2 linked regions of the Arabidopsis thaliana genome follow. The protein of the gene in region 1 purifies or fractionates together with the protein of each later gene. This does not show direct contact. Each region holds a gene or a part of one and is shown on either strand. Other genes may lie near its edges.

Region 1 (10,278 bases):
GTCTCTTTTGACCAATTTACTCTTAGTATTCGTCTCAGTGCATATGCTGCAGCTACTAATATTGAAGGAATAGAGAAAACCATAGAAAAGATATCATTAATGTTTGAAACAGCTATTGAATGGATTTCGCAATGTTGAGCTCATCGATAAGGCACAATGATGATGAAAGCAGAAGGAAACAAAGTGAATCCCCATACGGATGCCCCATGAGAATAATTAGGAGCAGCAAATTTACTAAAGAATCCATAAATATATCTTATAAGGTACCTTTCTAGCTTTAAGAATTAGTACAGAAATATTACACAAATTTGTAAATTTAGTATTGTTACAAAGCTATGACCAAGAGAGAAGGAAAGTTCAAGTTTCTACAAAATCAGATTGCAAGCTCCTCACTGTCTGCCTTTAGCCGATTTCAGGTGTTTAGTGAGCATCCTTGGTGCAATAGCCATTGACATAAGCTCTTGAAAGAGTAATTTGCAAGCATATGGAATGTATACCTGAGAATATTTAGATGAAATGACATCAGACAAATGAGCATGAAAGAGATAAAGATGAATATGAACCACTTGCACAACAGTTTATGTTTACCTGAACAATATCTGTTTTGTTCTTGCAACCTCTGCATTCAAAAGAATTCTTCTTCAGATTTGCAATGGCAATGAGCCCGCAGACTTCACACACATGTACCCTATACGCATCACTCTGATCAAACAGCCTCTCTTTCAAAAAGTGAGCAGCACCATGTGCAATCATGCAATCGCGCTCCATTTCTCCAAAACGGAGACCACCATCACGTGATCGCCCTTCAGCTGGTTGTCTTGTTAAGATTTGCACCGGACCTCGTCCACGCGAGTGAATCTTGTCATCAACCATATGCTTCAATCTTTGGTAATATGTTGGTCCAAGGAATATCATAGCTGTGAGTGGTCTGCCCGTGTGACCATTGTACATTCTCTCAAATCCACGCATTTGGTACCCACACTTATGAAGGGCTTTGCTTATATTATCCACCTAACGACACAACATTGGTCAAAACTAATAATACCAAGCCCAATGCTAACTAAGCAGCTAAGGAAAATGCAAGTTACCGTGACATCTGTAAAGGGAGTAGCATCTCCTTCTTTTCCCATGTGAGCTGCCACTTTTCCCATGATGCACTCAATTAGCTGTCCAATTGTCATTCGAGACGGAATAGCATGTGGATTCACAATAATGTCCGGAGTGACCCCTTCAATCGTCCATGGCATATCCTCCTGCGTGTAGGTCATGCCAACAGTTCCCTTCTGACCGTGTCTACTACTAAATTTGTCTCCAATTTGAGGAATCCGCACGGATCTGACCCTCACTTTCACAAACCTCAAACCATCTGCATTTGTAGTCAATAACACCTACACGAAGTTACAAGAATTGATCAGTTTCATATTTCAATCCTGAAACTTTCTAAACCCTTAACTGCAAGGAAAAGCCAAAGTTACCTGATCCACCATTCCAGTTTCACTATGTCGCAAGCTTATACTATGATCACGTCTAGTGTATCGGGATGATTGTCCTTGAGCCTCATCTTGAGATATTGGAGTGGTTTTCCCAATGATAACATCTTCACCTGAAACTCTAGTACCCTATACCAAAAATAAAAGATTGTATGATATGCTTTCTAACATTAGTCACCTAATCATATCAGATAATAAATAATTAAGGAACAATAAATTATAAACTTACAGGAGGCGCAAGACCATCATCATCCAGTTTATCATAAGAACCATGTCGCATACCCTGCAGCAGAAACCCAAGTGTTAAACTTCACTTACAAAAAGCACCACTGAAGTATGAACCATGTGTCAATTACTTTCTTACCATTGTACTTCCTCTGTCTGGGCGCCCAAAGTCTTCTTTGACAAGCGTCCCCATTTTTTTCTCCTCATCTCTGTCAGCAAACGTGATTGCAGTATAAATAAATGGAAAGACCGAAGGCAAACGTCCAAAAGTATAGCATACTCACCTGTAAGACCGAAAGAACAAGGATCGAAAGAAACCACGATCTATTGAAGACTGATTCATGATGACAGAATCTTCTTGATTATATCCAGAATAGCAAGAAATGGCAACAATAGCATTCTGCACAAGAAGAAGAAAAAAAAACATTTGAGAGATTTGATACACGAGCAATGCTGAATTCTGAAAAACTTCTAGCAAAAATAACTTACAATTCCTGCTGGAAGTTGTCTAAAGTGAAGATGCTCCATAGCTCTTGTAGTAACCAAAGGCTTTTGTGGATAATAGAGAACATAAGCTAACGTATCCTGGTTGACAGAACAATAATAATTTCTTTAAAATATTGAGTGATGTAACAAGAGCTGACAAGAAAGACCACAAATTAAGAGCCTAGAACATACCATGCGAAATTGGTAGTTGGTGACATAAATTCCCATTGCTTGCTTCCCCATGGCAGATTGATATGTATTACGAGGTGACTAATACATCAAAAAGTAAAGGGTTAGTTAGCATGAAACTGAATTTACATAATGAAATCGCTTCTGATAGAAAAGTCATTTAGACAGAGGTACCTGATTATGGTCAGGAAATGGTATGATTGAAGCACAGACCCCCAATATCAGAGATGGGTGAATCTCACAATGTGTGTAGTTTTCAGTATAAGCCTCTTCTGGGCGGAGTCTAGCTTGAACCAGATCCTACAACAAACATAAGAGTAAGATTTCTGCAGAAATTAGTGCACCACAAACTCATTTAATCACATCTTCATTTCATTACTCACACTGATAGTCATGGAAATCATGGTCGTTTCCTCTTCTTCTGTGTCTATGTATTCTATAAAGCCCTTAGCAACCAGATGATGCCAACCATCTTCTTCTGCACTTTCCTGGGTTATGAAAACAAATATTGGTACAATGGAATTTATAACAAAAGATACTTTGATAACAGGTAAAAATTAGAATTTTACCCTTTGTTGCAGAGCATAGATATCTCTCTTCTTTATTAAGAGCTTCTGATTATCTACAATAAACAACGGACGGCTACAACGTCCATAATCAGTGTATATCCGGAGCTCTTTAAGACGGATATCTCTAACTACACCAACTTCAGTGTTGACATCAACCTGCAAGAGGAAAAAGTAATATGTCACTTCTGCATAAAGTTGCAATATTTTCACTAGCATATATGGAAACGTGAAAGAAACTGCATGCTTACCCTTCGTCTCAAACGTCTCAACGTTTTCACCAACATGTCAGGATCTCTATGAACTCCAACCCACATTCCATTGACAAAGATTTTTGTGGCTTGGGGTATAACAGATGGAGATATTTCCTATATTCAAGTTAAGACCTTCAGGAAACCACAAGAACCAAGGAGGCAGATGTTGGGTAAGAAATTGAATGTGAAATGCTACAGACCTCAAAATTCTCAGTACCCCATTCTTCCAAAAATTCCAATATAGGATAAGCAGCTGACCCAACTGTTATGTAGACCATGAGAGCCAAGTTTTTCACTAGACCACAAGCCTGGTACAGCAAAGCCACAATGAGCAATGGAACTATAAAATCCGAAACACCCTTATTTTATAAATATAACAATTTTACCTGTCCTTCAGGTGTTTCAGCAGGGCACATCATTCCCCACTGTGAGTTGTGCAGTTGTCTTGGTTTTGCCAATTTTCCTGGCATATCAGACTTGATTAGATTCAAGTGGGATAAACAAAAGTACAAGCCAATCTAAATTGCAAGGATGTGGATAATAAAGAGAACCATGACTAAAATACACCAACTGTACGAACAGTTACACAGAGACAAAATAGAAGTGCAGGAAAAGAACGAGGCTTTACCTTCACGTCCTATTGGAGAATTGAGACGCCTCAGATGTGACAAAGTCGAAGCATATGTCAACCGGTTAAGAACCTGTTGTTAGTTAAGTCTTTAGAGCCATATAAATCATGCAATGAATTATAATAGGCCAAAACAGTAAACCCGATAACATACATCAAGAAATTATTGGAACTCAAAAACATAATTAACATAGAATTATCCTAACCTGAGAGACTCCAGCTCTTGTGCCAGCAGCGTTTGCCTGGCCCCAGTTCCCAGTAGCAAGAGAATATTTCAGGCCAGAGGTAATTGTTTTAGCCTTAATGGCAAATTGAAGATTGACTTCTTTGCCATTGTCAACGCACTGTCAAAGAAACATGAATCAGACTTCCAAACACAGAATAACAACTTAATACTAAAGTCTTTGGCTCGAGAAAGAGTAACTATGTAAGATACCTTTTGAACATAAGATCTCACATCCCTTGTTAACTTTCGGAAAAGCTGCATGTAGAGAAGATGTTAGGTCAGTAAGAGATAAAAAAAACACTGATACTCAACAATCCCCAAGAGTGTATAATTGTGTGCCGGGAACAAACCATTCTAAATAGCCCTCCAAGTAAAGGACCAGCAAGATCCAGCCTTTTGTTACCATAATGATCCCTATCATCTTCTGGCCTTCGGCCAAGTGCACAAAGCAGCAGCCGGTGTATGATATACCTACGGATCATAGCATAATATGAGCAACACAGAAACATGTTAAGTCTATAAACATTACAAGTGAGTTAAATACCTACCCAAAATAGTAAGCTTTCTTTGTCTCGCAATGCTCCCCAATTCCTACATGAGGAAGCATTTCTTTCTGAAGGATATCTCTAGCATACCTGCAATGATAATATTGCAATCGCAAACCTCCAGTGTGAACATCTCAATAGTTGACATCTTAGATCATAATGTCCAACTTAATTGGTTTAGATTATCACATACTTTATCCTTTTTTCCTTGGTTACACCAACAGTTGCACCACGTTTTCCAATATAGTCAAGTGCAACCTGAAGTAATATGAAAGTTATCAAGTGATTGCAAGATCAATTCCTCAAGCATAATAAAATGTCATTAACCAAGTGAAAAAAAAGTGGATACCAGCTGATTTTGAATAACGAAAGCTTCTTCCAAGGAAGGCCTGAGCAACTCCATCATCTGGGTATCGGCAAAATCATAGCAGATGTGTTCCAATATGTCCTTATCGGCAACAAATCCCAGTGCACGAAATACTATGATAATAGGAATTTCTGTTCTGATGTATGGAAGAGTACATCGAATATACTGTCCAGATGAACCCTGCATCCATTTGCAACATAGAATGTAATTTATTTACCATTATCTAGAATTTAAAGAATAAATTTCGAGGAAGGATATAGTAGAGTTAAGACTAATTAGCTTTCTCTTACCCCTTTTGCACTAGCACGAGCAAGCATACGCACAAACATTGTGCTTGGAGGCCTATTTTGGTTTTCAGCCATAGAACGGACTTCACCAACATAAGCATACTTATTTGGCTGCCTTTTCTTGAACACATAAACATGATTCGTACTCATCTTCTCCTGAGCAATCAGAACCTTTTCACTGCCATTAATAATGAAGTATCCACCCTGATCATAAGGACATTCTCCAAGCTCTGTCAGGTCTTTCTCCGAGTTCTGAAACAAGGTACAGTAACTAGACCGGAGCATGATGGGAACCTAGCAAATAATCAAACAAGAAGAAAACATTTCTACTATCAGAACAGTAGAGTACATGGAAACACCTAAATAAATGTGACACAATGAACTGAGTTCGGACACCTTTCCAATGAAAACTTTAGTAAAATCCTGTGTCTCCGTAACTTCTTCACCATCATGCCCTTTCTTAATAACTCTCTTAGTAACATCGACATACAAAGGCGCAGAGTATGTGAGATTTCTCAACCTTGCAGCCTTAGGGAACAGGGTGGCAGTCTCTCCATCAGACTCTGTCATCATAGGTTTACTCAGATAAATCTGTCCAAAGCTAATCTTGTAGATTGTCTGCAGGAAAACAGCTATATCAGACATACAGAAAAACAGATAGCAAAACAGCTATATCTCAGCTCACACAAAGTCAAAAATGATTTGAGCTTCAACCGATAATAAAGACCACTGAAAGGACACTTTGAAAAAAGCGAAGAGCTCAAGCATTAAATGGAAAGATAATCTCGGAAAATCAATGAGCTTAGCTACTCGACAAAGGCAGACCCTAATTGCAACAAAACTTAAAAACTGATTTAAGCTTTAACCAATATTCAAAACCACTGAAAATACACCTCAAAAAAGCGAAGAGCTCAAGCATCGAATACAAAGATAATCATGGGAAATCATTGAGATAAGCTTCTCAGATAAGGGCTAACAATAGACTGTCTGCAGGAAAACAGACCAAAGGGACAGCAAAAAAAGATACCAAACTCATTTTTATAGTGCCAAAACTGATTTGAGTTTCAACCAATACTATAAATCCTCCTCGAAAGAGATGAGCTCAAGCATTAACTCAAAGATAATCTCGGGACATTAATAAGATTACCAGCTCAAAGTCAATATCCGGACATCAATAGTCAAAATCATTTTTTGACTCTTGAACAGCATATAGCTCAAGCATTGAATAACAAGACAATCTCGGGACATCAATAAGATTCAGGTAAACCCTAATCGCACCCAAACGGTAGAAGCTCAAATCGAAACACTTTAAAACCGCCACAAACACGATAAACCCGCACATAATTTCGAATTCCCATAGAAACCCTAGAAAAAAACAAAAACGAGGAAACAACCTCCGCAAAATCGGACTGATGGCCAGGATTATGCTGAGATTCAGGTCGGATCTCGATATCAGCAGACTCATCAACGATTTCTTGCATAGTATTTTGAATAAACTCATCAAACGAATCCAGCTGTTGACGAACGAGACCTTTCTCTTCGAAATAAGCAGATATAACAGCCCACGCGTCCTCCTGGGTAATCTCCTCATCGTCATCGTCTTCTACATATTGAGGTTCAGGTTCGTATTCGTTGTACTCCATTTATTCTCACTCTCTGAAGATTAGAGCACAGCAAACTTCACTACTCGAGCTCTCGGAGACAAAGAGAGAGACAGGACGCAGAGAATGAGACGGCTTTGTGAGATTGTGAGTTTATAAAGGCTCGAGAGAGAGAAGTCGGCTTAAGTTTATGGAAATAACCGGTTTGTATCAATAACCGGTTTGATTAAATGGGATTATAAAAAGGATCGGTTTGGTTGTTAGAGAGCTTGGATTGTTAAATGACGGAAACACCCTTACTATATAAAGAAAAGTCTCCGGCTACATTTTTGTGGCGTCAGCGATATTTTCGGAAGAAGAGAGAGAGAGACGGAGAGTGAAGGCGGAGGAAGGGAGAGAGAGATGATACCGCAGCAATGGACGCCGCCGTGTGGGAGCAAATGCACGAATAAGTACTCAGCATTTACGCAGCTTCCATGTATGTAATATCTGGACTCTTAATTTGTGTGAATCGGATTCGTTTTTGAGTTTTGATGTTCGTGGTCCGTTGTTTTTTGATGGTTTAGTTTTCGATGATGATGATAAGAATCTGTTGTTGGAGCTGATAGATTGGGTTCTGATTTGGATTGGTGATTGATTTCTTGATTCAAAAGTCAATTTAGTCTTCCGAGTGTTTCTTCTTTTTGTTGTTGTTTGGAATTGAAATTGGGATCTGTAAATTGGATTGTTGATTGATTTCTTGATTCATAAACCCTAATTATTTGTTGGTGCACTCTACTTCATTACGATTATACTAAACATTTTGGTCAAGAATCGCTTCTTTGGTTAGATTGGTCCAGAGACAACTTATAGTTGTAGTTGCAAGTATTTAAGAACATCCATCTTGACTCGTAATTGAATAATGTAGATTGAAGAATCGGCAACATTTATATTGATTACAAGTAAGGGAGATTATGCAGAGTTCTTAGAGCTTTTCTATCATGTAATTAAGAAAATGGTTAAATTAGTAGGAGAAAGTGGAAGATAATAAGTTGTAGTTTATGAACTGAAAGAAATTTAAAGGGAGAGAGTCAAAGTAACGGTATCAAAGATGCTTCTGTATCCATGTTGCTTCTATGAACTATTGACATATATGTATGCTTAAGCTAGTTAAAGGGCTTGGTTTGGCTGTTTCTGTCTTTCTGATGAAAGCTTTTCATTCTCTGATCTCTGAATTTCATTCATGGGCACAAAAGCTAGCTGAACTTATGCTTGGTATGACATTTTTTCCATAGCAATCTGGGTTTTTTTTCAGCTTTAGCATCAGTGTTTATCCTCCATGTTGTTGTATGACATTTTTTCCATAGCACTAATGTAATTCCTGAATCTGTGTAGGGAGAGTATTCTGCAAAAAGGGATGTGATGCCGATAGTGACTCATGGGAAGATTGTAAGCATTTCTTTTTAATTCTTTGTAATCTGTAACGAAACTGTTGATGAAATGATGAGCGGTTAGATTTGTCCTCACTATGGAACATCATAAAAACCAAGCTTGTCTCCTACATAACGAAATTACATGTTCATGAAGAGTATCTTCTGCTTTTCAGGTTTAAGTTTCCAAGTTAATGAATTGGTGTAATAGTAGTGTACTCTCTATAGGTGTAGGAGACTGCAGTGAAATTTGCTACAAAGATCCTGTGCTAAAAGACAGACCATGGACTGCTGTTATAGATCGTTCTCCTGGAGATGCCAAATACTCTGAGGTAATTCACACAATGAATCTTTTTCTTCAAAAAAGAGAAATGGACTGAACCGTATCTAATTGTTGTACATGTAACTCTGTTTTTAAATTCAGGAATGCTTTCACGCATGTGTAGCAGGCTGTGGTTACAAGGTTTGTTTCCTTGCTTCAACCTCAATAATTTGATGCGTTTGGAAATACACTCTACTTCTCTGAACCCGTGTGGCTGTATTTTTTTGTCATCATGCAGTTTGATGTTGAAGCTGAGATAGTCAATAAGGTGAAACCAAAGAGACCTCCACCACCACCGCCAAAGCCACAACCACCACCACCACCACCACGTTCTCAAAAACCAATGCAGCCTCCTACTGAGGATGTTCTTGCAACTTCCGCTTGACGTATCTCAACCCCCATCAAAGGCTAACACTTGGAACTCCTCAATTTTTTGGTATCTAAACATATGAGGGAGTATTACTTTTCAGAGTAGCCAACTCAAAGGATTGGTCCATAAACTTTTTTTTTTCTTTTTCTTTTGATAGTTTTTGCAATAGAGATTGGAGAGTAGATATTAGTGGGACTCGTCCCGTGATGAAAGTTAGAGCATCCAAAAAGCTCAAGTTCCTAAATTCCATTGAATTTTTTGTTTTCTTAATATGTAGAATTTTCATTCTTATCAAAAGAAAAACAAATGTAGAATTTCCTTTCATTAGATCCAATAATATTTGAACGGCACAAAATTTCCAAATAAGAAAGAGTGACAAAGAGTCTAGCCAATCAGAGAATGAGGAGAAAGTTTTCACAAACATCCTTGACCGTTGTAACTAATTAGTAGTAAATTACTTATTACCCGGGAAAACCGTATTTAAGTAAAGAAAGTTTTCAATTTCACGATTTTACTTGCCATAACATTTGTGTACGTGTCGTTATACTATTTGTCAGATGACTTATTTCCCTTTTTCAATTGTCGGGAATATTTTGTAGTAGACTTACTATAAATATATACAATTCTAGCTTACTCCACAAATAAACCAATAATCTTTGTAACGAAGGAAACCAAAAAACAATCATGGCTGATTCTTCCTATTCTTTTGTCATGAAGATGACAGTGAAGACCACACCGGCGTCAGATTTAGCTTTAACAAACCTCGCCTATTGTTCTCCGTTTGATCTCCATCGTTTCGCCGTTCCCGAAACCGCCGATCTCTTCCTCGCTAACGTCGGAGAAGTTTTTGTTCTATCAATCTCATATCCTTTTTTTATTCACTTACAATTTTGATCTTATTCACACTTTTCTTTATTAATTATCGTCGTTTCTAAACATTTTGTCCCACGGGTTTATCACATCTTTTTCAGATTCCAATTAAGCAGTTATACCTTCTTATGGAGATGGCAGCTCAAAGAGATGGCAGGTCTGAAGAGCCGGTTTACATTAGGAAGGAAAAACTCGACATCACTCATTTCATGGATTGTCTTCAGGAATTTACCCAAGAGATTTGAAGTTTCAGTTCATTATTCTTAGACTCTCATATGTAATGACATCGTAGTAAGGAGAAGATTCATATATTGCACTAAAATCCTTTGAAGATGTCAAAGTTGATATTTGATTATTGGCACTTGACTTGTTAACTATATGAAACTTTTATGTTGGTTATTATGTGTTATACATTTGTATAAACTTGCTTAGATTGATTAGAC
Region 2 (5,957 bases), on another chromosome or scaffold:
TGTTTCACCTACAATTTTTCATTTCTTCCATTAATTCCCAAACAAATCATATAAAGATTGCAATTTGCAAAACTAATTGAAAGAAGAGAGTACCCAAGAGGACCGACAGTTGTTGACGAATTGGGTTCTAGAATTGCTACACTCCTTAGGATAGAGAAGACCCACGGTGGCGATTTCAGTTGGTTTTTTACCAGATTCCTTTTCTAGACAAGCGTAAAAAGCATCTCTGGCCTGCACCAATTAATGATCACTTACAATTTAACCTAAATCACACAAATCAGTATCACAACAACGAAAATGAGAAGAGAGAAAGACGGACCTTGTAACAAGCATCTCTAGCTTTAAGAAGAACATCCTCATGAACATCATTAGGGTTCGACGACGCATAAGTATCGAGAGCCATGTCTAAGCGAAGAAGACGGAATCAGAAACCAGAAACAAACACCAAACAAAACAAATGAAAGTAGATGAGGGACATAAATATACGGCCCATTTAGGCCCGGCCCAAAAAAGTTGTCGGTAGATTACAGACCTTCGCAAATAAGCATAGACGAAACAAAATAATTAAGGAGATCAACCAAAAATTAGTACCTTGTTTAAATATCAGAGATACAATGTAATGTACATTACAAAACTTTACTTTAGACATAGATTCATAATTAATATCCAACAAAAAAAAGCTATCTCTTCTTTCTCATTGTTGTTACATAAATCACTCTTCTTCGGTCAATTGCTTCTTGAGCTGCTCTAAACCGAAGTTCTCTTCTGGCTGTTTCATCCAAAGGTAATTAGCTGCATCTATCCATCCTCTATGAACCACATACTTCTTCTCTCTAACGGCCCAACGAGCCTTCTCTGTTCCCACATCCATTGCCACAACGTGTGTCACTGATGCATCCACTTCCGTTGCGCAGGTGGCTCCCAGTTCCTCAGCCATTTTCCACAGGGGGTGATCTTCTGGCTTTGCCTTGGTTGGGAACACCCGACTGAACACTATTTTACATCCTTTAAGTATCTCTTTACGCACTTGTTTCAGCATTAACCTAACATCTCTGTTTGATATGCCTTCATCCACATTCTGAAACAAACGAATAATATAATCAACAAACTCCAACAAGACAAGAGATAAGTTTTATTTAGATCCAGTGAGTGCATACCTCAAAGAATAGAGCATGCGCTTGTTTTAGGACTTTCAGGACAGTTGCAAGTGCCCCATCTGGTTCACTCTCATCACTCTTCAACTCCGATAGAGACTTGTATCTGTGATCAAACTGCCTGCAGCTCGAAGAAAAAAAGTGATATCTCTCTATCACAATCAAATTGTCCTTGTGCTTTGGCCACGCCTGAGCATCAAACCAAGTATCATCAGCACAACTCAATATCATGATTAAAAGTTACATGAAACATTGACAAATTACAAATCATACTTACATTCTCTGTATCGTCAAGAATCAGAACAGCACTTTCTTGTCCAAGCACCACATCTAGACTCTTTTCATGTCTCACTGTGCCGTCATCCCGAGAAATGACCCGATCACCAAAGTACTCTCCTTTGGGGTCCAGCAGCTTGGCCATCTGTCGTGCATAATTCCTATCTCCCATTGTGTATATGTACATCACAAACATCTCACTAGCTTCTTTTAGAAATGAGTGAACAAACGGCCTCAGTTTGGTCATCATTTGCATAAATTCCAGTAGGAAAAGACTGCCTCCGGAAACATTGCAACCATCTAGATGGAACAAAAAAAAAGACAAATACTAGACTGAAGTTCCATGCACAAAGATCACATTTGAAAAAGAAGCAAAACAATGTAGCTGAATGTATCACCTTGAAGAGAATGAGTATGACTTTTCAAGTATTCCTCCTCTGGTTTTAGGTCCCTCAGTATGGTTGTATTTAGCAGTGTGTGGTCTAGATCGAGAACTAAATACAACTTCCGCTGGCGTTGCAAGAATCTCGAATCTGAATCACGCAACCGGGAGATTTCATCTTCATTGAGCCTCATTTCCTAAGAAAACAGATTTCCCAAAGCTCATTAAATAAAAACTAAGATTTGATTTAAGAGAAGCTATTCTGAAATCGATACCTTGTGTATGTATCTAAATGAAACACCAGTTTCTTCCAGTTTTTGTCCACATACAAAGCACATATTCCCAAATGATCCTGGATGCTCGCATTCGCCTTTGCTTGAGGATGCTTCTGCAAGCATAAGGTTCAAAATTCAATACAATCGAACAAACGAAAGACAGAAAAATAAGACTGAATCAATAAAGAGAGCTTCACCCTCTAAATGCTCCAACTTTTGTCTCTTTAACCTAAAAGATTGAGAAACATGGTTTGAGAAAATATACACACTGTAAATACCAGTAGAGAGTTCGAAGATTCAATTAGAGAGAATGCATGACATATGAGAGTTGAGTTTACCCAGATTCTACATCATCCTCAGCTTCTTCTTCTTCGCTGGGTCCAGACGAAGCATCTGATGCAGAGTCTAATTCAGCATCAAGGAATGCAGCAAGATCGTCACTACTACTTGATGAATGAACTGGAGAATCACTTGCTACGCTCATCTGAAAACCACTCACAAGTCACAACAAAGCAAAATCAGATAAATTTTTCAACGCAAATGAAAGTCACGAATTGAGTAAACCCTAAATTAAACACAGACAGAGAAAAGGTCACATGGAGTTCGAATTGAAATCGCAGAGAAACATGGAGTGGTACCTTAAACTTGTTCGTCGGAGGCGAGAGAAAATCAAATCGTGATTTTGGATTTTGAAAGGAAAAGAGTGGAGATGTCACGACGGTGAGCAACCGTAAAAGTGAAGAAGTAAAGCTTTCAACTTCTGTCCGATTTGTTATTTCACGAAAGCTGAATAGTTTATGTAATAAGGCCCGCTTAAAGCCCGTTAGAAGCCTAATTAAGATTGTTTGTTTTTGGGTTCAAGTCTAACTAAGTTTAAGAAGAATGGATAAATATTTCAAGTGTGTGAGTTTTAGATTGTTGGCATAAGTTAATTGAACTTAGAAGATCAGATTCACATTATAAACTGTAAGCTTTGTATAGAGAAGTAACTAAAAACTAAAGAGATTACATAGTAAATGTTGTTTATATATGGAGGAAAAACAATTAGTATATTTAAGAAATTTTCTTGAGTTTATTAGGCATCATCATATGAGGAGGAGCCCTTTTGTGTTTAGGAGGGACTTGTTCTTTTTCTTCTTCTGCTTCTTCTTCTTCATTGTCATCCTCATCATCATCAGCTTGATCAGTTGTCCAAATCATCTTATGTTGATAATATCTGAAGGCGACGAGTAACATGAATGCTGCCCAAACACGGGCAGTGACTGAGGAGAGGTTCCAAACTAAGGTGAAAAGTGCCAAAGCCACTGCCTTTTTGTGATTGCAAGATTCCCATGCGTCCCTGAATCTCCTCATCCAGAAATTTCCTGAATTGTACACAACTTTGTTTGATTAAAAACTGTTTCATAGAAGATGTAACTGAAAGATATTGAAGGAGTTTTTAGTTACCGTATGCAGAGAAGTGTGTTGAGTATGATATGAAGATTTTAGGTATTGTAAATGCTCCCAAAAAGCCTGTTCTCACGAGGACAAAACACTCGCAAGTCAGAAATCTACATACACCACTTCTTAAAACAAGAAATCTTGAAGTCTAGAGGTACCAAATTTGGCGAGGTTCCAAAGAGTGATAGAAGAGCCACACCTGGCCAAGACAAACAACACTACTCCCATCTGCAAAACATCATCTCTTCTTTATTAAGGTCAAGGGAGAAAGAGGAAACGAAGGAGAGAAAGTGAGAAGAAAAAGACTTACCTTGAGAGTGGTTGATGGATCACCGGAGAAGAGAGCTCTGAGTTGATGCAGAGACTCGTTGAGATAAGGCATTATGAGTCTGAGCATCCTCTTGACATCTTCCTCTCTAACTCCAACCACTTTATGTCTCTCCTCCTCCACCATTCCCCTGCGTCCATTATTACATGCCTATTAAACCCAATCACAAAAACAACATGCAAAGATAGAGAGAGAGAAATAGGTCTATGTATCAAACCTGTGGATCAGTGATTTTAATACGAACATGAGACCGAGATAGATGAGTCCCATGTACGCTACCACCGATATGAAGCTGTACATTTTCATCACATTTTAGTTCCATACTACTTAACTAACTTGTGTGTAGATTCTCCTTGATCAATTGAAAAGAACTAAAGAACCTGAAATTGAGATCATTGGCGTAGGAAGAAGAGATGATGAGGAATGTTCCGAAGCCAAACACAAGCGTCGACCTTGATACATCCCTCCACATCACCAGATCCACTGTCCAGATTTCATTTCATTATTTAACATACTTTAGACTTTTCATAGTAAAAAAATTTGTAGATGGAATTATGCACAGTAAACTGTTAAGAAACTCACCCAGACTCTGCAATTTACTCTGTGAATGAGTAAAGTTGTCTTCTTGCTCTGCAAATCTATCTGGAAACAGTCGTGAAAAACAGAGGATTCATCAGAATTCAGTAAGCAAATAGCGGTCGATGAAACAAAGCACTGAAATTCGGATTAAACAACCTGTGCTTGAAGTAGAATTTGGTGGGGCCGAGTAAACAGAAGTTGCCCTTTTGATCACCGGAGGCGAAATTTTACGAACGGACGACGGAGATGGAGATGTTCTGTTTTGAAATTGACTAAACTTTTTAATCTCAACACCACCAACTCTGTTTTCCTTGGCTACATTTATCTCCTTCACATCAACACTCTTCTTCTCCACTTCTCTTTCCTCCTCCTCATCTCCATCTTCTTCATAATCATCTTGATCACCAATCTCCTGGTCGCCATTGTCAATCTGCTCATTTTCGTTTGATTTAGCAGATACGATCATCTCCTGACAAACACCAAACTCCTTGACTTCTTCTGGGATCTTCGAATTCTCAATGATAGTCACTTCTTGCTCTGTTTTCGTATCAGATTTCTCAGAATTTGGAGATGGCAACGAATTCACTTTCCTCAACGCAACTGAATCAAATTCACCGGCTTTAACGATCGTCGTGCAGACCTCCGATCGGATCTTCTTAACTCGACCCGGAGTAGTCTTCTTCTCAATCCCCTCTACAGATTCAGATCTTGCCTTCTTCGCCACCACCGACACACTCGGACTCTTATCATTAGAATCACTACTAGACAACGATCTCCTCGGCGTCATCGGAGGAGTACCAATTGATCTCGGCTTCGTCACCTTCAGAGAATTGGCTCGAACAATCTCAAGCGTTGATGGGTTCTTCACATCGGACGCTCTAGACTTCCAAGTCCGTCTCTTTCCATTAACACCTAATAAAGTTTCATCCTTTAAAGTCATTTGCTTAGTAGAAGAAGTCTTGTCTTCGTTTGTAACATGAAGAACAATGGCGTTATTACAAACTTCATCATCGCTCTGCATTCTCGTTTCCCAAACAGAACCTGCAGCAACAACGGCTCCTCCAATTCTCTTTCTTCTGCTGCTGTTGATACTACTTGGGTCCATTCTCTGTCTTTATGTCTATGTCTATGTCGTACTAGTAATCGAGCTGTGAATTTGAAAGTAGTAATGATGATGAGCCTTGAAGCTGAAGGAAAATGGAGGTTGTTGGGCACCAAAAGGTAATTGATTTCATATAATTTCTGATAAAGCAGAATTTGGAGTTGGGTTGTTAGATCAGACAGAGGAGGGGGACCTATGTTTGTCTCATGAAGATTGAGACTAGCTATAGATCACCAAATTGGATAATTGGCTACTGCTTTTAAAATTAACCTAAAGCCTTTGCATGTGGTTGCACTGCAAAGATGCTTACTTAAACATAATCATCAAGGTTTATGATCACAATCTCTCTACTTTTTTACTTTTCTTTTTTTATTTGAAGTTAATTAATTTTGATTACTTCTTGTTTTTTACTTTATGAAAT

The links. Proteins that work in one complex are often made in the same cells at the same time.
Region 2: the proteins of NRPB2 (region 1) and CPL4 purify together in Arabidopsis thaliana (affinity purification with western blotting; one study listed by BioGRID). This does not show direct contact.

Annotation. Positions count from the first base shown.
Region 1 is NC_003075.7:11,535,295-11,545,572, forward strand, and holds NRPB2 (DNA-directed RNA polymerase family protein), read right to left. Parts: upstream 7,112-10,278; 5' UTR 6,907-7,111; coding exon 6,658-6,906; intron 5,882-6,657; coding exon 5,660-5,881; intron 5,558-5,659; coding exon 5,267-5,557; intron 5,157-5,266; coding exon 4,959-5,156; intron 4,868-4,958; coding exon 4,803-4,867; intron 4,700-4,802; coding exon 4,613-4,699; intron 4,536-4,612; coding exon 4,415-4,535; intron 4,320-4,414; coding exon 4,275-4,319; intron 4,183-4,274; coding exon 4,045-4,182; intron 3,912-4,044; coding exon 3,839-3,911; intron 3,674-3,838; coding exon 3,597-3,673; intron 3,519-3,596; coding exon 3,411-3,518; intron 3,325-3,410; coding exon 3,208-3,324; intron 3,116-3,207; coding exon 2,960-3,115; intron 2,879-2,959; coding exon 2,774-2,878; intron 2,691-2,773; coding exon 2,565-2,690; intron 2,472-2,564; coding exon 2,394-2,471; intron 2,301-2,393; coding exon 2,205-2,300; intron 2,116-2,204; coding exon 2,000-2,115; intron 1,925-1,999; and 13 more. Other genes in the region: AT4G21720 (defensin-like protein), read left to right, coding at 7,267-7,342, 8,239-8,292, 8,502-8,605, 8,698-8,736, 8,834-8,980. UniProt on the Arabidopsis thaliana protein: DNA-dependent RNA polymerase catalyzes the transcription of DNA into RNA using the four ribonucleoside triphosphates as substrates. Second largest component of RNA polymerase II which synthesizes mRNA precursors and many functional non-coding RNAs.
Region 2 is NC_003076.8:23,476,680-23,482,636, reverse strand, and holds CPL4 (C-terminal domain phosphatase-like 4), read right to left. Parts: upstream 2,857-5,957; 5' UTR 2,726-2,856; intron 2,572-2,725; coding exon 2,426-2,571; intron 2,317-2,425; coding exon 2,285-2,316; exon of another isoform or gene 2,211-2,284; coding exon of another isoform or gene 2,201-2,210; coding exon 2,088-2,200; intron 2,010-2,087; coding exon 1,829-2,009; intron 1,731-1,828; coding exon 1,432-1,730; intron 1,344-1,431; coding exon 1,158-1,343; intron 1,079-1,157; coding exon 713-1,078; 3' UTR 501-712; downstream 1-500. Other genes in the region: AT5G58005 (Cytochrome c oxidase, subunit Vib family protein), read right to left, coding at 1-8, 94-231, 320-403; AT5G58000 (Reticulon family protein), read right to left, coding at 3,141-3,451, 3,534-3,599, 3,686-3,755, 3,838-3,985, 4,073-4,147, 4,236-4,338, 4,438-4,497, 4,591-5,539. UniProt on the Arabidopsis thaliana protein: Processively dephosphorylates 'Ser-2' and/or 'Ser-5' of the heptad repeats YSPTSPS in the C-terminal domain of the largest RNA polymerase II subunit (RPB1). This promotes the activity of RNA polymerase II. Required for normal plant growth.